Arabidopsis thaliana: one gene and its partners. The protein of the gene in region 2 interacts with the protein of the main gene of each other region in a pairwise test. Each region holds a gene or a part of one and is shown on either strand. Other genes may lie near its edges. The genes, in order: PRMT4B, AT3G22440, AT3G21215 and PAR1.

What was found.
Region 1: the proteins of AT3G22440 (region 2) and PRMT4B interact in a two-hybrid assay, tested with the Arabidopsis thaliana proteins (one large-scale study listed by BioGRID).
Region 3: the proteins of AT3G22440 (region 2) and AT3G21215 interact in a two-hybrid assay, tested with the Arabidopsis thaliana proteins (one large-scale study listed by BioGRID).
Region 4: the proteins of AT3G22440 (region 2) and PAR1 interact in a two-hybrid assay, tested with the Arabidopsis thaliana proteins (one large-scale study listed by BioGRID).

Annotation. Positions count from the first base shown.
Region 1 is NC_003074.8:2,184,419-2,191,593, forward strand, and holds PRMT4B (protein arginine methyltransferase 4B), read right to left. Parts: upstream 4,970-7,175; 5' UTR 4,879-4,969; coding exon 4,684-4,878; intron 4,370-4,683; coding exon 4,307-4,369; intron 4,183-4,306; coding exon 4,080-4,182; intron 3,818-4,079; coding exon 3,674-3,817; intron 3,519-3,673; coding exon 3,415-3,518; intron 3,058-3,414; coding exon 2,959-3,057; intron 2,874-2,958; coding exon 2,804-2,873; intron 2,627-2,803; coding exon 2,530-2,626; intron 2,452-2,529; coding exon 2,397-2,451; intron 2,273-2,396; coding exon 2,189-2,272; intron 2,055-2,188; coding exon 1,977-2,054; intron 1,860-1,976; coding exon 1,756-1,859; intron 1,650-1,755; coding exon 1,477-1,649; intron 1,371-1,476; coding exon 1,213-1,370; intron 1,132-1,212; coding exon 1,051-1,131; 3' UTR 725-1,050; downstream 1-724. Other genes in the region: AT3G06920 (Tetratricopeptide repeat (TPR)-like superfamily protein), read left to right, coding at 1-31. UniProt on the Arabidopsis thaliana protein: Methylates (mono- and asymmetric dimethylation) the guanidino nitrogens of arginyl residues in several proteins involved in DNA packaging, transcription regulation, and mRNA stability.
Region 2 is NC_003074.8:7,957,345-7,963,031, reverse strand, and holds AT3G22440 (FRIGIDA-like protein), read right to left. Parts: upstream 3,280-5,687; 5' UTR 3,179-3,279; coding exon 2,266-3,178; intron 1,932-2,265; coding exon 1,756-1,931; intron 1,656-1,755; coding exon 1,146-1,655; 3' UTR 661-1,145; downstream 1-660. Other genes in the region: AT3G22450 (Ribosomal L18p/L5e family protein), read right to left, coding at 1-589; AT3G22436 (uncharacterized protein), read left to right, coding at 5,012-5,134; AT3G22430 (RNA recognition motif XS domain protein), read right to left, coding at 5,427-5,687.
Region 3 is NC_003074.8:7,440,687-7,447,519, forward strand, and holds AT3G21215 (RNA-binding (RRM/RBD/RNP motifs) family protein), read right to left. Parts: upstream 4,627-6,833; 5' UTR 4,546-4,626; coding exon 4,375-4,545; intron 4,052-4,374; coding exon 3,872-4,051; intron 3,793-3,871; coding exon 3,717-3,792; intron 3,520-3,716; coding exon 3,390-3,519; intron 3,274-3,389; coding exon 3,159-3,273; intron 2,836-3,158; coding exon 2,744-2,835; intron 2,628-2,743; coding exon 2,558-2,627; intron 2,470-2,557; coding exon 2,387-2,469; coding exon of another isoform or gene 2,350-2,386; exon of another isoform or gene 2,290-2,349; coding exon 2,187-2,289; 3' UTR 765-2,186; downstream 1-764. Other genes in the region: AT3G21210 (zinc ion binding protein), read right to left, coding at 1-70; MKK5 (MAP kinase kinase 5), read left to right, coding at 5,231-6,277.
Region 4 is NC_003071.7:17,835,780-17,840,220, forward strand, and holds PAR1 (phy rapidly regulated 1), read right to left. Parts: upstream 1,840-4,441; 5' UTR 1,409-1,839; coding exon 1,052-1,408; 3' UTR 637-1,051; downstream 1-636. UniProt on the Arabidopsis thaliana protein: Atypical bHLH transcription factor that acts as a negative regulator of a variety of shade avoidance syndrome (SAS) responses, including seedling elongation and photosynthetic pigment accumulation.

The DNA of each region.
Region 1 (7,175 bases), 5.8 Mb from region 2:
AAAGGCACGGCATGCTGCCCGATCTTGGTAGACAGTTTATCGATAATCTCGTTTCTTGTATAGGAAAACCAAGACATTTTGGGTTATGTCTGATTTCAGTTAAGTGAGCATTCTGAAGCACAAGTATCCCAAGTTTTCTGGAGAGGGCAATGTTTGTTTGACATCTGTCAGTGTTCACAGATCGAGAAAGATGGGTGTTCTTCACTGGAAATATGCTCAATAAACACCAGATAATTACTTCTGTTTCCCTTCTTCGTTTGTATCATTTACCAGAACCTTCATGGTAACTTCCCCATCCAGATGAATCTTCTGCGTTCTTCCTTATGTTGGACCTGCACCTTCCGATTCTTATCATTGCCATTTTTGCAGGATTTGAAAGGAGACTATTGCTCGGTCTATATGTCGACTTCGGTATGAGCTCTTATTCATCACGAAGGTTGTAATTTCTGTGACTCAAGAGCCAGCCTCTTATTCAGTGAAAGCAGGAATCTTTAAGGAGATTGTGATTTGAAGTGAATTTCATAAGAAAGTGTCTGTTTTGCTCTGTCTTACATACACTGAAACTACACGAGTTTGATAGAGACGAGATAACCTCCTTCAAATTCATCTTTTGCTCACCTTTTGACTTTAATAATATGTTCTACGTCTGTTTCCATTGATAAAGTTCTCTTACGATTCTTGCTCGAGTAAAACTATCATTTTATCAAACCATAGAACTCAATTTAGAAAGACATGTTTTTCTGATAAATGAACTCGATTCTTGATTCATTGTTTACATTGCGTGTGGCTTTTAAAGATAACGTAAATAATTGATAAGTTGGGTGTGAAAAGAAATACACAAAGAAGCAGAGACTTTTCCATGGAAGCAATGGGAATGATAAGATCTTTCCATGCTCATCATTTTGATCTTTCCATACCAAAACTCATAAAGACACCAGAAACATTTTTTTTACCTTTTTGACGTTACAAACAGAAATCCCAAGCTCAAAATATGACTGAGATTCAAAGATCCCAATTATCATCTCTCACCTTCATTTCACTTATTAGCTTTTAGAGCTGGGCACTTGGGTTCTGTGGCAATTGTTGCAGTAACTCTTCTTCTAATTCATCGTTTGGTGTTTGTATGTCCTGCTAAGAGTAAATGCATATATATTGGTACACATATAAAAAGAAAGCAACCATACCTATTCTAGTTGCTGAATGCATTTTTACCTGTGTACTTAGCTCTGGTTGTGGTTGTAGAGGTGGTTCTTGTGCAACAGGGTATGCTTGTGGCTGAGACATTCTATAATAAGGTTCTTTCAGATCGAATTTGCATGTCGATGATTGGAGAATTCCGCCTTGACTTGCACCGGGCCCCCACATTTTAGCTGTTAAAAACCCATTTTGTTATCAGATCAGGAAAAGAAGTTGAAAGTTGGTTCATGGTGCTTTCAAATGACGAAAACACAGAAAAAAAGAAGAAGCAAACTGCACCTGATAAAGTTAGATCTATGGTGTAACTCTGAGCACTGTGGGCTATCAAATGAAGTCTACCAGTGATCTCTTGACCTGCCATTACGTAAATAGGCTGCGAGAGAACACATCTGATTTGGTACCAATGCGTTGTAGGTGCACCGGGAGCAGTTGTGAGCCATCTTTGGACCGTGCTGTTGAAAATAGAGTAAAACGAGTTTGAAATATAAATCTTCAATTGCAAAGAGAAACATGAAGATGAAAAGTTTTGAATGAAGAAGAATAAAAAGCAAGAGTTACCTCCCGTCAAAGAGAACGTCAAACCAGCAGGCAAGTCCATGCATTCTGGTGCACATGGAAGCAGTGAACTTCAACGGGATATCAATCTCGTAAAAATCTTCTTCCTAGGGAAACGAATTCAGGGGTAAAATGAGATTGTAAGTCATTCACCCCACCATGAAAGATCAAATTTCTTGACATAATGGAACGCTGAGGAACAGTCTTAACTAGTGTATGTATACCTTCATTTGAGTGAAATCTATCATGTGGAACATCGGAGAAGCCACTAATAATCTCGGATCAAATGCATCAACCACGGGCTGTAAAATCCATAGATAATGATTCATCAATACCCGTTATGTTGAGAATAACCAATATGTTAGTTGGTGCAAATACATATTTCGATTATGTTGTGTGTGAATACATATTTCGATTATGTTGTGTGTGAATATACCTGAGAAAAATAACCTTGGTGCGCTGATCCATATAGAGGTGTCAGATCAACTCCATAATAGTTCTGCTGTTGCCAAAACATAGCCTGCATAGAGGAGGAATGTATATTATTGAATGCTTAAGACTTCATAGAAAAACTGAACTAAACCAGCATATTTTGGAAAAAATTCTGGGAAGTAATTCTTAGAATAACCAGTTGCATTCCGTACCTTATTTGCCATCTCAATAAATAAGAATTCATCAGAAAAAGGTGCCATGTGAATCCTACAGTGATAAAACTACATGAGAGTGAAGACATAGTAAGAAATTAAATAAGGAAAGGCTCTCAAAGGTTGCCTTTACCTTCCGACAGTGGGAAACATTTTGCCTTTTGGAGTCATAAAACGATCCCTAGCAATTACATACGATTCTAACATTCTCTCGTTGACCAATAAGGTGCCTGATTTAAAACATAAGACTTGTCATTCAAATGATTAATGGAACTTTCAATCACTAGTGATGTTTTTACGCATATTTTTCTCTGACCAAGGTTTTTTCTGGTCTAAAGATTCCAAGTTTTGTAATTTTCAAAGGAAAAAGACGCACAAAAAAAAAAGTACGTCTCTGAGATACATACCCATCGGTTCAGAAATCAAAATATCTGCTTTCTCAGGCAACTCGATATCCTCAACTTTACCCTTGATGACCTACACTTGTGCAAGCTTCAACAACATCAGACAAATGCATATAACACAACTCTATATACTGACCAAATTGAATTAGAAGTCTTACTGTGATTCGGTCAGCGAATAATGGGTTTCCAGCAATCAGCTTACGAGCATACTCAGCCATTTCTGATGCTTCAACCGCATACACATGTTTGGCACCAGCCTAATATAGCAGAAAATAAAGATATGTATGAAGAAGATGAAGCAAAAATTCATAAGTACCATAACCATCTGATAGCTATGTCAGCCGCTCACACCGAGACATAACTAGAAAGTAGTTCACATTTACTTTGGCATTACTACCTTTTGCATTTATGGATCACCAATTCGGTGGATTAAGGCAAGGAGAGGTTCGAGTCAGAGATGTATTTGTAAAACTATATTGAGGACTTCGCAATAAACAAGCTTTCTTTATTCATAGTCTAGCTTTACAGATAAAGCTCTGCCTATCTATCAACCTCTTCTTGTTTGACCATAGCAAAGTCTTAGTTCTGTAACCTATAGCCTAAATATTAAATACCTGGGCCGCAAACATTGACAAAATGCCACTCCCAGCACCCACATCGACCACAACACGACCAGCAAAATCTGAATGATTCTCCATGACTGCGGCATAGTACGTACCTGAAGACATGAATGAGGTTCATAAATAGTTATTCCAAGACAAACAGCGGTGAGAAGAAAACAGAAGATATTCGTATGATGGGTTTGAATCGTTTAAAATCAAGAAAACTGGAACAGTTTTGAAACAAACAACACATTGAGGCCAGATATTTTACCTGTCCGCACATAATCTTGTAGCATATTTTGCTGATGTAGAAGTTGTCCATAATAATGAAAATACATTTTTGCCGATGACGCCTCTATCTTATTGTCGAACTTGCTTTTATTAGCTGAAACTGTTCCATTTTGCAAGGATGATCCTAGAAACGGAAAAGTGAGAAGACAGTAAAGGAGTATGCAATAATATTATGCATAGATTTTGAAATGGGCAATGACAGTGAATGCACAAGTAGCCACAGAGAGAAATTGGTTCTTTACAGTCTGAGAAAAAAACATAGATTTTCATAAAACTATTCTATAATGGGGCTTCAATACTTTCTTAATTAAAAGCCAGAAGAAAAGCAAACATAAGGCATTCATGCTATAACACCTCCAAGAAAGTAAATTGATACAATGGCGCACCTTGAACAACAGAATCATTTCTCCACTCTTCAAAGGACTCACAAAAATCCTTGCTATCCTTCTCATTTTTGAATTTTATATTGACTCCTTTGGAGAATGATTTCTGTTTCACAAAATCATTTCATTATGAAGAAAAGTGGATTAATAAAGAAGGCGAGACAAGATATTCACTTTAAAGAATAACTAAAGAAATTGATCCTGCTCCCAAGTACTCAAACATAACGTACCTCCTCTGAAGAACTTGAACCATCAGATACACAGATGAAATGGACTGGCCCCAACTTGAATAACTGAGGGGAAAAACATTGACAAAGATATAATACGATCAATGCACGCATTCTCAGATACAACAAGACCCAATAAGATTATAAAACATAAGCAAAACAAGTTTTACCAAAATTCAAACTTTCAGAATTAAAATATATCGTCAATTGTAAAAATTAGTATGAAAACCATCTTCAATCTCAGATTAGTTACAGAAAAATAACAGAGTTTCGTCATCTTCATGTAGCAAAAACAAACGTTTTAAACGAGATGGGAAAAAATAATCAAAACCGATAAGAACCAGCGGAACAGTAACATAAGCATGTGAATCGACATTCACCTGAGCGGAAGCGAGATCAAAATTGAAACAATGGGTCGAATCCGATTGCAGAAATCGGAGCTCCGTGACTCCATCAACGTAGGAAAACGTAGCTACAGCTGGAGAGGACGACGAAACGGAAGACGAAGAGAGATCAGTGACTGACTCTAAAGAGTACTCCAGCTGCTCAAGCTTTTTCACAGAAGATACCTCCATTTTTACAAAACGATGCGAATGTACAGATACAGTCTCTGTATGTGTGTGTAAACGAAGCTTAAGAATTTTAGGGTTTTTCTGCTGAGAGTTTCCGAACTCTCTGAGAGGGAGAAGAGTTAAAGCCGCCAAAAGGAGTAATGAAACGGTGGCATTTTCGTAATTTTTACTATGATTATGGGATAGGATTGTAAGTTACATTTATTAATTCTTAAACCAATTTCATAGATCAAAAAGTTCGAATGTGAATGTCATACATCAACCAACAAGTTCTGCGAAGAAAAAAAAGCTCGCTTTGATCTGAAAACGAACGAGATCTTTATTCTTCATCACACAAGAAGAGAAGAGATCCAAAATCATCTACTACTTTAAACTAACCAAAACATCCTAACAACTAAGTAGCTTTGCATGTTTTCTTGTTATGTCCTAGTCCCTTGCACTTGCTACACTGTAGCTGACGTTTCATCATGTCCAACGGCTCAACCTTCTTTATCTTTGGTCTTCCCGGTGTCCTCCGTGTGGGTGGAGGAGTCACGCAAACTAACCCCTCCGGCGGATCATCCAGCATCATCCTGTCCATGTTTGGGACAGGTTGAATCGACTCTGCATACATTAACCGGTGACTCTCAACTGTTAAGTACGTAGAGCAATACTCATACGGGCTTTTCTCTATGCATCCAATCACGGCAATTGCATGGCTACAAGGTAACCCAGTTAGCCGCCAGGTCTTGCAGTCACAATCACACTGATTGATATCAACTATACTGACCGAAGATTCTCCTCCATTAACCTGGAATAAGCTCCCTTCTGGCGATGAAACCTGAAGTAATTGCGCAAGTTCTATTTCTTTCTGTAGCTTCTCTTCGTTAGATGGTGTTAGAGTTGTGACCCATTCCCGGGATTTAACCTGCCTGGTATAAATAGATTGCATCATCTTTGCTCGAAATTCGTCAATCATTTGGGTAATGGGAAACTCATGTGCTTCAGAAACCCAGCTGTAGAAGTCTTTCCCAAAGTTTGAGTTCATCTTGTTATATCTCTCTCCTTGGAACAGCGCATTTGCCCAATGGTGTGGTTCACTTTCTATAACCCAGTTGTAAGCATCAGGAGATATGCTTTTTATATTCTCCAAGGCAAGGTAATAACCCACGGGTGTTGTTGCATATGCCACAGAGTAGAAATCGTTGAGCATATACCGTCTTGCTTCATGGGAAAACTGCCCCTTCAAGTCCACATTTAGTTTTTCAGCAAGCTGGCCTAGACAGTATGCATGATGTGCGTCTTTTTCAAAGACCTGCGCTATCGCATTCTTCAGACCATTCTGGAAATCTGCAACAAAAGTGATTATTCGCGACTCAGACAACGCAGTTTTGAGTTGTTCCAAAAACCAAAGCCAGTTCTCCTCTGTCTCTGAATCCACAATAGCAAAGGCTACTGGAAATATGCCATCTTCAGCGTCAGAAGCTGTTGCAACAAGCATAACCCCTTGGTATTTTGAGTTTAAGATAGCGTTGTCAAGGAACAGGAGAGGGCGGGAACCTTGTTTAAACCCAGATATTGAAGCATAGAATGATATGAAAAGACGATGGAAGCTCGAATCTTCTTTTGTCATGAAAGTGGCAATACTGCCAGGATTTGTCTCCTTGATCTTCTCACAGATTAGGGGAAGTTGACTATACGCCTCTTTATAAGAACCCTGTAGCTGCTCTCGGGCAATCTCTTTTGCCCTCCATGCCTGTGAGTAATTCAACTGAATACCATACTCTTTCTTTATGTCCTCAGCGATATCCTTGGGCTTGTAGTCTGGGAAGGCTTTCAACTTCTCTTTCAAGATGGTTCTTACCCATCCTCTAGTTGCACGGTAACCAGGTTTGATGACAGCTCTCTCACAAGTGTGCCTCGGGTTCATTTTCTTGATACATATTAACTGAGTCGTTGATAGCCTCGATGCAGTGATACGCCATGGACAACCTTGAGCTTTGCATTTGACAGACACTCGATGGCTGTCATTTTTCTTGTATTTGTAAGCAAACCCATGGGCGACTGAATACTTGTGTAATGCATCTCGGAATTCAAGAAAGGTATTAAACCGTTGATCAACACCCGTGATGACGTTTTCCCACTGCTGTATTGCTGTGTGATGCCTCTGATCAACCAAAACAAAATTGCACGGCAACGGACTATCATCTGGCATCGCCATTTCAATTTGAAAATCATTTGCCATATCCTCCTCGACACCATCTCCTACAGCACAAATAGCAGGTACCACCCCTTCTGATGCCGTTGTCCTACTTGACCTG
Region 2 (5,687 bases):
GGTAGTGAAATGGCGCCGTGAGTTGGTTAAACGTAAATGTTCTTTCTCTCTTCTTCACAGCTTCATTAGGATGATCCGTCTCACCTGTGAAAGAGTCATTTCTCTTCTTGTATTCGTCACGAACTTCCTTCTTGTTATCCTTCTTTATCTTTGTTTCTTCTTCTTGGTTTTGCTCCTTTTTAGCGTTCTTGTGTTGATTCTTGCGGTGGAAGTCATAGTTGTATTCCTCGAATTCTTTTGAACCTCGATCGAGCTTGAAGAAAAGATCACCGCGAATTCTCATGTTATCGATTTCATCGTGATCGGGATCTTCATCATCGAGTATTGTTTCTCTTACTCCTTGTATTGTAACGGGAGAGTTTTTTGCAGTGTCTGCTTGGAACTGTCTCCAAGCTTGGGATAAAGATGATGAAACATGCCAAACATCATCATCCACAGTTTCTATACCACAACCACTCAAACCAGTCACTGTAACTTTACCACTTTCACTGTTGGAAAATCTCGAGGAGAAGCAACGCGGTGCAGGTCGAAAAACGGAGATAAAATCTGGCAAACGGAGACACTTTCTTCTCAAAACCATCAAAGCCATTGAAGGAAAAGAGACCAATTCTGAAAACGCACGTGAAAACTAAACGGTAAGATTTCAAAGAGACATATCGTCGAACATCTGGTGTGCAAGGTTGGTAAAGAGAAATTTCTCACCACTGGCTTTGTGTCTTGTACCGAAATTGAATCACCACTTTGCTCAATGAAGAAGAAATGCAATTCAACAGAGAACTGGTGGGTATGTCTTCAAAGCAACGACCTCCGATGTTAGATTTGATCGGAGATAGTTGGTGACGAAGAGAAGTTTGTCATTCGATTAACAGAGTACAGAAATATAAGTTTGTTGACTGAATATTAGACATTACAAAAGCTTGAGTTTTGTTTTATATGCGATTAATAATAAACACACCAGAGGATATAAGCTAAGTTACTAAGAGAGTTAGGCTGAGAAAGAGATATTACAGACAAAAACGACGACGTAGGAAGACAATAGACCCAGAGAGAGAGAACACCAGAGTAGTAGCAGTTGTCACAGTATCAGTGATTTGTTGGTTATTACCAATCTTCTTCCTTGTTTTGTTGTCACACTGTCTTCTAATTCAGTAGTAATGTTGCTGATGGTGGAATTGGTGGTGTTGATGATGGTGTGGGTGGTAAACTGGAGGAGCTGGAGCAGGAACTGGACCATTACAATAACCGTTGTACGCTGGGTAACCGATAGGAGAGCCTTGGTATGAGCCTGGGATGATCTCCGGAGAGTATGGATAAGGTGGGCTTCTGTTGCTGTAGACTGTTGTAGGTGGGGATGGGTAAGCTGCTGGTGAAGCGTATTGAGGAGAGTGAGAGGGTGATCTGATGAACGGGAAGGAAGAGACGTATGCGTTTGTGATACGCCCGGCTTTGGCTGGTGGCATTGGACCGTTGTAGCTGGCTCGGGTTCTTTTGTTGGCAGGAACAGCTGCTGGCTTTCTCTTCTCGGTTTTGGTCTTCTCTAGCTGATCCAACCGTTTCTTGAGGTTCTCTGGAGGGAACTCTTCCTCGAGTTTGTACTCTTCTATGCATTTTAAAACCGCCTTAAGTGCTGATTGCTCCTTGCGCGCCACGAGATGCTTAGGAAGAAAACATAACAAGGAAGATATTAACTTTCAGGGACGCACAGATAAAAATATTTAGCTGCGATAGAAATGAGTAGATGCAATGAGTAGATACCGTAGCTCGGCCAGTATTGCTAGAGTCCTCCATGATAGAAGCTGCTGACTTCTTTGCGTCCCTTAGATAAGCTTTGAGCAAAGGAACAGGAGGGAACTTATCCACAAGCCCAACTTCATAAGTAAAATGAACAGCATCAAGCTGTTGTCCCCTGCTGATTAATTCTTCAATCATGTCTGTGGACAGCGCAACAACTTGTAAGTTCAGATATTATAAAACGAGATACAGAGAAAAAGGCTTCAACTTCACACAGTCTGTGGTCAATAACACCTTGTACCACTAATGTCTCAGACTTCACCACAATCTATGCCATACAATGTTTGCCACACAAACTTAATATTCGACTAATCAACTCGTAAACTATTTGTAACCTACCAAAACTATACATCTAGATGGGTTAAACTATTAGTAAACTAGCCAATTTCAAAACCATATATGATCTCACAAGTTACAATGAGCATGCCAGGATAAAAAACTAATAGGTAGAAGATAAGAGCTTAAGAGGATTACCAGGCATTTGATCACCCAAACCAACAGAAACCGCAAGCTTAGGCATCTGTTTACGCCACGCAGATCCAACAACAAGCTTTCTATACAAAGCAAGATCTTCACTTTTAACAATTCCAAATGTAACAAGATGCTGCAAAAACGTATGAACATCAGGAGTCTTCACATTCTCTATCCTTCCTCTCTCTTCCAAACTCTTCTTCCACGTCTCAGCAATCTCCTTAGCTTTCTCCTTAACACTCGGAGTAACAAGCAACCTCGATTTCCCAATCACTGGATCAACAATTACAGGTGTTAAACTCTCAAGAATCACAACACAAGCCCATCCATAATCATTGCTAACTTTATCTCCTCTTGTATCCACCGGAAAAACCTCAGATATCGCTTCAAGCACTAACATCGCCGGATCTACACAATCAACCAACGCCGCCGGAATCTTTGACCGGAGATTCTCCAACTCCTTCTTCCTCGCCGTCACAAAGTTCCAAAAACCTCTCGCATCCATTTTAAGACAAAGAGATTTCAAAGCAGAAAGAAGACCTTCTTCATCGTCAACATCACCGGAATCATCATTAGAACCATCACCACAACCATCTCTAGCTTTCTCTAACGATTCAAGAGCAGCTCTAGCTCGTTCACCTACTTTCCCAGCTACGATCTCAACGCTATGGTCGATTGTTACCTCTCTACGCTTCAGAGACTCGAGCGAGGTCTGAGTCTGGTTATCTAGAGTTTCAATCATCTGCTTCAACGCTTCAGATTTCTTCATCAGATTCTGCTCTAGAGAAGTGAAGTGATCGGAGAGCTCTTGCCATAGAAGAGTACAGCTAGTCATCAACGACGTCTGTTTCTGAAACTCCTCGAAACTCGGCTGAGCTAACTCAGTTAACTCGCCTGGATCGGGGACTGACCCCATCGCCGGAATCGGAAAAGAAACTCAAACTCCGTTGATTTGATTGATACAGCAGAGAAGAATAAACTCAAGAGAGAGAGTGAAATTGAAGAAACCCTAGAAATGGGAAAAAAGTAAAGAGACGAAGAAGAAGATAAGAGACAAAAGAAACAGTGACGTGGACAACTCGAAATAGCGACACGTCTCAGTGGAGTCTGATTAAAGGCGCGATTATTACATATTCTTCTATATTGCGCCGTCGACGCGTAGCTTAGCGTGATATGCGTAGTATAAGAGAGTTGGGTGATGACGTGGTAATAATAATAAGTACTATTACTATAGCTTTGCTTTAATTTTTCGTATAAAGAAAAAAAAAGGTGAAAGAGATAAGTGGGCCAAGCCCACTGACCACCACATGCGTTGAGTCGGAAACCAGTGAAGCATTGCCGGTAAAATACCAATTGAATAACAAAAAACTATATAGTATAGCAAAAAAAAAAAAATGTTGTTATAATTAATATGAAATTCTTTGTGTAGTGTAATGTAGTAATGTAAGAAGAAGAACAATGCATGTGTTTTGTAGAAAAGGCTGTAATGAAATCAGGGCACGCGTGACAAATGTTAAAACGTGATAATGAAGCAACCACAAAGAAGATTCATTAGTACACATATAAAACTAATCTTCGTACTATGTTTTTAATATCTTTGTGATATCAAAACAGAAGAATAGAATAAAAACGAAATTTTGAATTTGGTTTTATTAAAGCTATTGCTTTTTTGACATCAGTGGAATGGATATATCATAAAAACTTTTTTCTGTTGATATGTACAAAATGTTAAAACGGGACAGTGACATATAACACATTATTGAGGGGAAATATCCATTACTCTTTTAGACCTCTTGCTATTAGAGTATGATTTTATAGTTACAAAAAGGTTAGAGAAACATTACAAAATTAGAATGAGACGAAATATGAAACTGACGGCTAAGAATAATTTATCTAATTAAATGGGTCCGTAATGGCCGACTACATATGAACCGCCGATTACTGTTTCCGCTTTATAGAAAAAGTGAGTAGAGAAATTTGAAAAATGTGAGGGAGATAATCGAATTCAAAAGAGATAATGATTTAAATTTATGCATTGATTTGACCTCAGTCTAGCTAGTCTTATAGTAATATGATTATGACATTTTACATAATCTAGTCTTTTTTCTAATATGTTTAATTCTCTTATAGTGCATGTAACTCTATCAAAAGATACAAAGTACTTTGTCCTGCATATTGTACATTCATAAAATTATATCCTAGTTGTTATGATATTGGCCAAACTATAATCCTATATGTTATATTAACTTTCACTACCGGATAGTGCTTGATTACTTTCATAAGTGTTAAGGTTTATCTTAAATTCTTAATCACACGGCCTAAACCGAAGCTGATCAAACTTCCTTTAACAAAACGTGTAAATTGGTAAGCCAGAGCGAACCAAAGATTTGAATGAAGACATGTAATAAAGTTTATCAGAACACAAGAAAGTAGAGGGGAAAAAATCGTCAAAACACTTTATACCTAACTTGTCAATTAAAGAGTTATAAACAAAGACAAAACAAAATTTATATAGTGGTTACCAAAAGCCCCCACAAAATACAAGTCCTCTTATCTAATGTTTATTTTTGTTTTCATACCAATTTATAATTTTTTTTTTATTTTTTTTTATTCAAAGAAGATAGCTAGCTTAAACTAAACACCACCATTGTTGTCACCAATCTAAGGTGACCAAATACATAAAGCTACTACCAGAGTGCAAACAAAAACAATAACTCAATGTCATAGACATCATCAATACAATGGCACTATGGCAACATTGTTTGGTTGGTTCAATATTCTCATTTCCATAGGCTGGCTAAAGCCTAAAGAACAAGCAGGAACCACTATTCGAAAGGATGAGATAGAACAAGGAAAGAAGAAACGAACGTAGGAGAATCAACAGGGACATCAAAAGCATCAAGCAACTATCACAATATACTTCTAAGGATGTTGGTAAAGAGAACTTGTATATATCAGGTTCAACCGATATTAGACTATGCAATATGAACACTGAATCGAAGGATCAAAGAGACCAAGACTTCATCTATAAATTAAAAAAAAAAAAAAAAAAACTTTCGTTCCTCCTTTCGAGTTTTTTAGGTTGCGACTAAGAATCCAGATTCAATAGGCAACAAATACCTCGAAAGTTAAGTGTACCTTTCGTGGGAGAAGAAAACTGTAATTTACTTTGTTCTTGTGAGTTCTCTAAGGCTCTCGATTGTGGTTTTCTTCTTTGTCTCCACATCGACTTTGTCCAAGTCCGTTACAGTCGCGAGATAACCATAAAAGATCCTCTTTTTCTCTCCCGTCCTCCCATCAACCTCGACAAGACCAGGGTTTTTCTCATCATCTTTGCTTGGAGTGAGTGGCTGTACCCTCCCCCAACTCTTACGCCCACGGTTTATCTTCTCAAAATATTCTGCCATTCTCATAGCATCCCTGAG
Region 3 (6,833 bases), 520 kb from region 2:
AGAGCTCCACGGCGATTCCAATCTTACGTTGACGAGGAGATGAAGGATGATCGGATTCTGGATTCATCATTTCTTCTTCTTGCTTCCACAAACTTCCGATTTTTTTCTTAGGGTTTTTAAATTATGTGTTATGCAGCATTGCTAATTATGGGATAATGAGGTTTATATTTATGGGTTTTGTGCAAATGTTTCTTTGCTTGTAAAAAATTATACTTTGGTTAATGCGTTTGTTATCCCTTGCATTTTTGTCAGGTTTCCTTAGCTTCTCGACAAGGAAAATGCTACATCGTTTTCTTTTAAAAAAAGCAAAATAGTAGTCTCTGTCTTGCTTGATGAGAAAATAAACAAACAATTTGTCTTTGACATGCACGTTGAAAGTTTTCCTCTAAAAACACGTAAACGTATTTGGGCCTAATTCAGAAAGGCCTAAAATGGGCTGAGAACGAGTATGGGGACGGCGTATATCCGTCTCAAAGAACCATTCAAAGCTGAAACAATCAATCGCGACAAGGTTCACTTCTCCCTCTCCAAAATGGTCCGATGGAAAGCCTCAGAAACCAGGCACGTTACTCACGATTCTCCTCCCTCTCCGTGCGTTTGTTCCACCAATTTGATCGACATCTCTACCTTTTGCTTGATGATCTTTACTTGAACAACTTGAAGAGGGGTTTCAATCTTTTACCTCTCAGTTCCGTTTTATATTTTTTTTCTTCTTTTTATTAACCTCCCAACTCTTTATCTTGTTTTTCTTGACAGTTCTGCGCTCAGACACACCTGACGTTTAAGAATTTTCTTTTAAGACCATGGTTTTGTGGTTTTAGATGTTTTGCTTCTCTGGAAAGTTGGTCTAAGGAATGCACAAACCCTTTTGTGCAACAAATCTTTTTCTTTGTTGTCTACAGTGATGAAAGCTTGAGACTCGCCAATCATAATAATGAAAACATGTTTCTTACTTGAGAGTTGAGACACTCCTTTATCGATTCTTCTTGGGTTGTCTCTTGGGTTAATTATATTACCTACCTCTCTTTACAGCAAATTTACCATGGTTCGAATTCAGAGAAACAAAACATGAAACTAGGCCCTAGAGATCCTATACCTCAAAATCTGATAAGTAAGCGACCAATTATACACACATTGTTCTTGAAAATGGAAGAGAAACTTTCTCATTTGAAGAATCACTAAATTCGCTTCTGGTTTTCACATCCAGAGTCAAGTAGCCCAAAGCCGTACAGAAACATCAGTTAGAAAAGAGATAAGTTGGATTGGATAAGTAGACTCCATTGTAAAAAGATAGGCTCTTAGGAACTCCTGGCTCTGTTCCTGGACGTCCGAAGATGACCTTACCTCAACTTTGTAGGTGAAACGCATCTCTATTCGAGAGCTTGGGCTTTCTCTTTACGGATTGTCCCTGCATAAGGCCAAGCCAGAGCTGGGAATGTATATATGTTTGCTCAACTATAATAAACCTACAATGTAATGGAATGCCTATCTTCAAATGTTATATCAGCTGTCAACTTCTGACAAAACGGATGTGCTTGTTCATCAGCCTAAGTAAGAACAGAGAATGATCGACATGGGAAATGCTGAAGAATGAAACCGATGTGATAGATCATGAGAGTAATATTCCATGTCTATGCAGTGAAACGAAGTTGATCAAACCCCTCTGGATGTTATCATGTTATGATCTAATGTAATGGTATATCAGCTAACATAGCAAATGGAGTTTCGTTAGGATGAATCAATCATGAGAGCAACATTCCGTGTCCATGCAGTGAAACGAAGTTGATGGAAGGCCTCCGGATGTTATCATGTTATGATCTAATGTAATGTTATGTTTTTTCCTAGCTAACGTTTCATTAGGATGAATCGATCAGAATGATGAAAATGAATCCCACAAAGTGATGTATTAAAGCCGCAATAAGATAAACAAATAGCAAACCAAACTCCTATATAATTCAAACAATCATCAAAAACCACACTGCGAATGCATGTAGCAGAGCTAATAGAAACTGAAACATGTTATATGTTGATGAGGTCACACTATATGCACCCAACACATGACAAAGCAATGCTGATGCTTAAAAATGTCGAGAATGGAAATGGATGAAATGCAGACTGCCTGGAAGATGCATCGTATTCGTGCAGTTGTTGGGAGATAAGGAAGAGAGTACGTCCCCCTTCAAGGCCTACTGATATGTCAGGGCTCCTTGGGCTCCATTAGCACTCGGAGAAGGAAAGAAAGAATAGCCGCCACCTTCCTTTCTCTTCCCATATGGATTCTTTGAATATGTATCATTGGGTTAAGAAGAATCAAACAGAAAAGAAAAAAGAACTTGGCATACTGGAATATTAAATAATCAGAAAGAGTAAAAGTATATAAGGATATTGGATCCTCATGCCAATTGAACCAGAACTTGGAATGACAGCACCTTGCAAATTATGGTGAACATTTGTGGCACTATTGACATCCTGCAAGTCCAGATAGAAGAATTTAACAATATGCTAGAAGAATATTTTCTGTCACATATACACAGATGGTGAAGGTCTCAGAGTTAACCTCGAATTCAATAAAGCAAACTGTATGCCTTTCTTGTCTCAGAATCTTCATTTGTTTGAAACCAGGTTGCCTGCAAAATGAAAGTACAGTTTACCGCAGAATTCTTGAGAACACAGGTCTACAAAAAGGCCAAGATCTCAAGGAAAGCAATGGACAGGAGTCTCACTAAAGGGAACAGATACTCACGCACTCAACAGGCTCCTCAATTCTTCTTCGTTTATATTCTCCCCAAGATTACCAATAAATAGGGTATTGCAAGGTGGATTATCCTTAATATTCTGCAATTGAAAAAAATTTGAAAACAACATGAGACATATATCAGATCACCAAACCTAGGCTAGATATTCATCAAACTAGGTACAAAATTTATCAAACAATCAGAAACTTTAGCAAATTCAGAGCAGTAGACAATGCATTTAAATTAGGCAACAACTATTGTTCCACAACACAACCACCAGAGAGTATAGCATGTAAGCTAATTAGAATGAAGTTCGAGATTGTAATTTTTAGGCAAGGAGAGGCAAGTACAATATGGATTCCGGGTATATAATTGCACAACCACCATATGATAAATAAAATGATGAAAACAGTGCAACTTCACCTGGACAGGCACATAAGAACTAGGAGCTGCTATAGGTGGGGGCGTAGGCATTGGTACAGGGGGAGCATGATAACCTGCATAGGGATCATATGGTGGAGGTGCAGGTGCCATATATCTGAACCAATTTATCTTCTTGTCAAATAAGCAACTTAACATAAAACGGTGTACCAAATACACATCGTCCAATTTCTACACAGCATATGAAATATGAAGGAGAAGCAAATGCCTAACCCATGAGGAGGTCCCCACACAGGAGGAGGTGGAGGATGGAAAGGAGATGGACTATACACAGAGTGTGTGCAGTCACCACCAGTTCGTAGGCGCTTACTTTGATCATAAGCATTTGAATCCCCAACAATACCTACAGAATAAAGATTGAGTTCAAAGGTTATATATGGTTTGTGATATTAACAAAGGAAGTAAGAAACTAGATAAAGGGGAGAGTGTAGTGAGACCCCGTATAAATGCACAAAACTGTATCAAACATGCTTCAGTAACATGACTAATGCTTAAGATAGATAAAATACAGCCATTTTATGTCATAAAGGTAGAGCTAACCTCTTTTAACAAAAAGATTCTTCTTGGCCATCTCTGTATGTATCACAGACTTTGACTCAGCATCAAACACCATATGCTGCATGCCAAGAACAACATATGTCATAATGTGAAGACAAAAAAGGATCTGAGTCAACAATGATCAGAAGCAGACAGACCTGAAGGGTATCTTTGGCTGCCATTGCAAACTGAGCTGTGGAGAAAAGAGCAAACCCCATGGGCTTTTCTCCCTTGAAGTTCACCTGAGAAGCCTCGTAACCAGGCAACCATCTCAAGAGATTCAAAAGCTCTCTCTCTTTTACATCATCGGGAAGCCCTGCGATGAAGATTGTCCGCAGCTGAACAACAGATTCAAACTTGTGTAAGAGATCACGTTTTCCCAAAATCAGAAAACTCCAACTACATGACAAGATAAGAGAACCTTTCTCACTTATGCAACAGGTCATAAGTGAGATTTTAGTAACAAACTTAAAAATCATTCTTATCAAAAAGGTCATAACTTTGGACAATTTATCGATTCCGTAGCAAAATCAAGCTAACATTGTATATCAAAAAGCAGGCAAATTAAAACCTCAACGTAAACAAAAATCAAGCAAGCCCATCTCGACAACACAGCACAAGAATCACCGATATGTATAGAGAGAAAGAGAAAGAGTTGAACCTCGTCATAAGGAGGACGATTATGGTTGTCAACTAAAACAGGAGGAGGAGGAGGATGGTGATGAATGGGCGGCGGATGTGGTGGAGCAGCTGATGATACTGCGGCTGGAGGAGGCGGCGCACCTGCCGGCGGCCACTGCTGGTGGTATGGGTGGATTCCGGCGCCGGCCATGAGATAAAAAAAAAACCTAATTACTCAGAGAGTCAGAGATTGATTGTTCGAAAAAACTTCTGCGGAAGAATTGACGGCAAAGAAGGCAAACTTATTTTTTAAGTCACATGCATCGCACGTGAACACTGTACCACTTTAATTTTATTTCTTTCTTTTTCTGTTAAAAACTTTAAAAAGAAAATTAGTTTTTAATTTTTTTAGAATTATAATTACTTTAAGTTTTTCTTTTTTCAATTGTTTTTATTGGAAAGAAACTTTAATCTGTATTTTCTTACTTTCTAAAAATATTAAATACCTAACACCAAATTTATAGTATCTAAATCCACGATCTTAAACACTCTTAATGATATTATAATCCAATTCAGACCCGACCAAACAAAAAACATGGTTAACGTGTAACAACACAGAGCCACACAAGTGCGAGTGTATTCCACGCTCTTTCCATCAACGCGTACCTTCGTCTTACCATTTTAACTTTTTTTTTTTTTCTTGTTTCTTACAATCATTTTCACAAATCTCTTCGATGAAGCTTCATTCTCCTCTTGATTTGATCTCTTTGAAAAACGACGAATCAAACAAACCCTAGAGTCAAGTCAATCATGATGATAAATACAAACCTGGAAGATAAAGAATCAACCTTGTGAAAAAAAAAAAAAACTTTTGATTCCCTCTTCTTCTAAAAGCCATGAAACCGATTCAATCTCCTTCTGGAGTAGCTTCACCTATGAAGAACCGTTTACGCAAACGTCCTGACCTAAGCTTACCACTCCCACACCGCGACGTCGCTCTCGCCGTACCTCTCCCTCTCCCACCTCCTTCTTCCTCTTCATCCGCTCCGGCGTCTTCCTCCGCGATCTCAACCAACATCTCCGCCGCTAAAAGCTTATCCGAGCTAGAACGAGTGAACCGAATCGGAAGCGGAGCCGGAGGAACGGTTTACAAAGTAATCCACACTCCGACGTCACGTCCTTTCGCTCTCAAAGTGATTTACGGAAACCACGAAGATACCGTGAGACGTCAGATCTGTAGAGAGATCGAGATCTTAAGAAGTGTTGATCATCCAAACGTTGTGAAATGTCACGATATGTTTGATCATAACGGTGAGATCCAGGTTTTGCTTGAGTTTATGGATCAAGGATCTCTTGAAGGAGCTCATATATGGCAAGAACAGGAATTAGCTGATCTCTCTCGTCAGATTCTTAGTGGATTAGCTTATCTTCATCGTCGTCATATCGTTCATCGTGATATCAAACCTTCGAATCTTCTTATAAACTCAGCTAAAAATGTGAAAATTGCTGATTTTGGTGTGAGTAGGATCTTGGCACAAACAATGGATCCTTGTAATTCATCTGTTGGTACTATTGCTTATATGAGTCCTGAGAGGATTAATACTGATTTGAATCATGGTCGTTACGATGGTTATGCTGGAGATGTTTGGAGTTTAGGTGTTAGTATCTTGGAGTTTTACTTGGGGAGGTTTCCTTTTGCTGTGAGTAGACAAGGTGATTGGGCTAGTCTTATGTGTGCTATTTGTATGTCTCAGCCACCTGAAGCTCCGGCTACGGCGTCTCAGGAGTTTCGTCACTTTGTTTCTTGTTGTTTACAGAGTGATCCTCCTAAGAGATGGTCAGCTCAACAGCTTTTGCAGCATCCTTTCATACTTAAAGCTACCGGTGGTCCTAATCTCCGTCAAATGTTGCCGCCGCCTCGTCCTCTTCCTTCTGCCTCTTAGTGTTTCTACCATTTTCGTCTTTCTTGTTTTTCAATTTTTCGTAGTTTTTCCTGACATTTTTCCATAAGTTTTGCATACCCCAAGCAAAGATAATGAGAAGAGTAGAAGAACAATGTGGTTTGTGATTGGGGTATGAGTCGTCAGGAAGAAACTCAGTTTGTGGTTAGGGTTTATTGAGTCTTTATCTTATGCTGCTAAGCTTGATTTGTCTTATGGGTAATGAAGAATGTTTTGCTAGAAATGGAAACAAAAAAATAGACAAGAAGAATTCTTATGGTTTAAGAGTGATTTTAGCTGGATTTGCTTATATTATTGTTTATATAAGGAAGTAAATGGAGGATCTTTCATTGGATAATTCTCATTAATAAAGCTTCTTCCTTTAATTCTCTTTATGGTTTTCTAGTTTCCGTCTTGTGAACATTACAAAGGCTACCCTAGTGCCTACTGCGTTATTTTTTCTTTGCCAGTTATGGTCTAATTATTGCGGTAAAAGTTGAAAGCTTGTTTAGGAACTTTTGTTTGAACGAAATCATGTGATGCTCTTGCAATTGGTCAA
Region 4 (4,441 bases), on a different chromosome or scaffold from region 2:
GACAATATTGCCGCGAATCCTTTTTTGTACGGACCTCTTAGTGTTTAATGGGTTCAGGCCCAGTTATGTTAAGCCCAATTATAACATAACTAAGGCAATCAAAAAACATGTGGAATCGTAATCTTTTAGGCTTTTAGCCCATACAGGATGTGATTAGTTATAATCTATCAATGGTTTTTATTTTAAATTTTGGTTTGGTAAAGGATGTTGAAGTTAACATTATTGATTACAACTTCGTACTATACGATGTTCAACCTTAAATTCATCTTTGTAATGTAATTTGGATAGAGAGTAGATAGGGTTGGTAAGAAAATTATATCTTCCCCGACTTTCCGCTATGTGTGGAGTAAATAGTTCCATAGAGTTCGATATAGCTGCATTGTTGTGGGTCAGAAATTACGTTATAATGAATACTAAAACTGATATTGTTTTTTTTCTAGCGGCAAATGTGTTTAAATTTCTGTGTAGATGCTAGCTCTAGTACTTACACGACTAAAAAGATTTGTCTTGTATATGTATGTACAAGGAATATACATGAACTCTATTGTTGGACCACGGGAACTCAAATCTAGTAAGTTCATCATAAGCTTAAATAAATATCGACCGACTTTGGAAATCTTTGTTATAATAAAGCATGTGAAATGAGCTCATCCAGATTTAAAAATGGGCCACGTAACATTAACTTTCTCAATATCATTAATGTCAAATCTCATATGCAAGTGAAACCTCGTGATCCAATTTAATATCTATACTATATGGCGTCCTACTAAAATAAGTTATATAACTACATTAATTAATGCTAATTTTCGTTAATGAACACTTCTCATAACCGTGAAACGGCTTAATAAATAAATCAGAACATTAAAATTAAAGATTATACTCCTACTAAAGAAAAAAAAAATTCGAAGAAAAAAATGTTGAGTCTCTTTCCTCATATATCAAAGCTAAAATCCCATGTTATAAAAAAGGAAATAAAAGATTTGAAAAAAAAAAACGTTTTTTTTTGTTTTTAGGAATCGAAGAAAGAAGAGCAGTCTTGGTGTGATAATCTTCAACCTCCGAACTTCATGTCTTCTTGATCTATGCGTTGAAGAAACGAAGTAAGGACTTTAATGGTTTTGATCTGACATTGTAGAGACAGAATGTAACCAGCTGTCTCTTCGAAGAGCGCGTCCACACCAAGCGCCGCTCCTCCGGGGATAATCCTCTGCAACGCCTCAATCTTTTCCTTGACCTCATCTTCTTCTTCTTCTGCTTCTTCTCGGTCTTCACGTACGCTTGCGTTAGTCTCTGACAATCTCCGTTTGGTTCTGCGCTCGAAACCAGCGGCGCGTGATTTCACGGTGGCTGAGCATGACGGTGACAGAGAGCGTCTCGTGGCGTCGGGAGTGGCTAGAGTTTCTTCCATTGAAAGAAAGAGAGAGATGAATGATGAGTCTGAGAGAATAATGAACAAGTAAGGAATGTGGATATGTGTAACTGTGTGTGTTATATATATATATATGAGTGATGATGGATTTAGTAGACAAAAATGTTGAAATGTGGTCGGTTCAACCTGATTTTATTTTGGTTTGTTGCGAGTTTAGAGACAATACTCTATCGGTTTGATTTGGTTTGCTATGCTTTATGTTACATTGTTTGCTTACATTAGTGAAAGGTTCGGTTATGAACGAATTTTGGTTTGGTTTGTCTATAAAAAACGATGTAAAAATTGAAACGATATAAAATAAATTCTACATTTAGAAATTGGGAAATGGTTAAATGAGCGGTATTGCCATCAAAGCTGGGTCCAGTTGTGCGTTATTTTTAATTTTATTATCCTCGTGTTTCGGATTGTGGAGATTTATTTAATTATCTCTTACTTTGGTTGCTTCCACAGATTTGGATCTTTAGAAGAAGAGCTTTCACGCGCCATGTCGACTGGTTTAGACTTTAGTGGACTCATCACTCACTTAAGTGGATCAACCTCGCATCTAGATTGGATTTTTTTGTTTGTTTGATAAATGAGATTTGGCACGTTAAATTTGTTTGTTTAAGAGCTAGACGTTTGACATAGTAATTAACTAATTATACAACAATGCTTTATTATTGTATTAGGATATGCGTTGTTAATACAAGCCGGATTACTTTTAGCAAGTGTCTCATTTATTTATCAAGCCGGATTACTTGCTAAAATATTATTCGAACTTTAATTTAAACTCTAAATGGTTTGTGATCTGGTTTAGCCATAAATGTAATAGCTGCTATACGTTGTTTTGCATAGTTACCAGTCTTATTTTCTACAACAAGAATAAAGAGTATAAACTATTTTATGTGAGCTTAAATTTCCAAAAGAAAAATTCAAGTAGACGACGACAAACCCTATAGTTATGCACTTATGCTTATAGGCCATTCGGGTGGTGCCTGGTAATGGACTAATGCCTGATGGTATAAGAGTAAGTTTTGTCGTAATTACGTAGTACGGACGAAATGAAAACGACCACGCGCGTGGAGATAAGGAAGGAAAAGAAGAAGGATACAGTGAGACACTACTTGCATGGGAACAAGGAAGAGAGAGGAGAGGACATGTGCGGGTCACATGAATATCTCCATCTTCAAAGCCCCATTCCCATGTGCTTCCTCCTCTCTATACATTATGTACAGACTGTAATATAGTATTATTATTAGATGGATGAGATCAAATAGATCCTCTAAGAGATAGTGAACTTGTTCGTACAATTGAGGACCTAATCCTACTAAGATCCACATGATATCTATCGGGCATGGTGGCCACGTGTCAACCCTTTTTTGGGTCCCCCCCACCTCAGTGACCTCCTAAATCTGTCCTTCATTTTTTTTTTGTCAACTCCTTTTTCTTATTAAAAGAAACTCCAATTAACATCCCATATTTCTTACCACGTAAAAACAACAATCTCAATATATCTATAATGTTAGAGAAATGGCCACTATATAACAAGAAGAAAGCCAAGGAAGTTTAGTGTTATTGGATTCGAATATAGTGTTACATGTTTCTAGCTAGAGATCTTTATAATATACATCTTTTATACATAAAACCGTTATAGTAAATCTTACTTAATGTTGGTTCCATAAATGAGCCCTCCGGTGCATTTCTTTTGTCAACTATATGATATAAAAACTAGATAAAGACTTAATAAAAAATAATTGCATTAAAAAAAAACAATTGCATTTTTGTAGGTCTTTAATCCAAGATTGCAAATTAACCTAAATCTACTCAAGAAAAAAAATTTAGTAAAGAATAATGATTGACATCTAATTAAAAGAAATAATGTATGGTCTTAATTAAGACAAAGATCAGGAACAGAATAACACATTTCTTTTACGTCTAGGGTTTTTAGTAATACTAAAAATTGTTAAGATGTTGTTTTAGAAGAAGAAGAAGATGGAAGAGAGAAATAAAGAAAGAGATGATGTTTCCAAAGAGGGGACGAAGGAGGGTTTGGTTTCTCGGGATTGAGATTTACAAAAATCGGGTGCCTTTCGCATTTCACCATCTACCAAACTGACACTCTCCCCAATTCTAGTATCTATTTATTTATGTATTTGCACTTACATTAAATATGTTACAAAAATAACACACTCGAAATTTAATTTTAGCTTTTAGCCAGCTTTCACATTCGTCGTCTTGGAATAATCAATTCTATGTCCTTTTGTATCTTGTTCGTTGTTTCTATTTTTTCCAAAATAACTTTTATTTAATGACGAAAACCTAAATATTTATATCTAGGAGGAGTTTGAGATGATTCCCTTTCACTATTTATTTTTGTTGCCACAAAAATAAAAGAGAAGAGTTTGGTTAAAGACAAGACAGTATATGTTTTTTTAAGAATTAAGAAAGGGGAAGATTAAGAAAGAAAATATGTAATGTTTAGCTAAAAAACTCCAAATCAAGGGAAGTTAATTAGTTATCTTCTCTTTTTTTCTATAAAGGCTGGAGATATGGGCCACACAGGTGGACCTACCATGATGGGTGATCTCTGGGACAATGCATACAGTGGTTTTTGGGTCCACCTCTAACCTTATTTGTCTCCTCTCTTGGCCTCATTTAGTTGCATTTTTTTCAATTGTACATGCATTTTCACTTGCTATATCTCTCTTTTGCTTTAAAACTTATTTTATTAAAAACTTTATAATCAGAAAGAAGAAGAAAGATCCCAAATTTTTTTATTTTTATTTTAATTAAAATAGAAGTGAATAAATAATCTTTAAATGATTTTTTCTAATTTTATTTTGATATTTCTATTTTGAGATACTATTTATTGAACAGCAATCTCTCATTGTGCTCATTTATTAATTTGTAGAAGAAATAACTTGTTTAGGAAGAAAGTAAGCGAACTCAACTGTTTACACAAAAATATATACACAAATTGGTTGGTTTAAAGATATGATCAAGTGACAATGCACCTTTCTGTTTCTACTGACA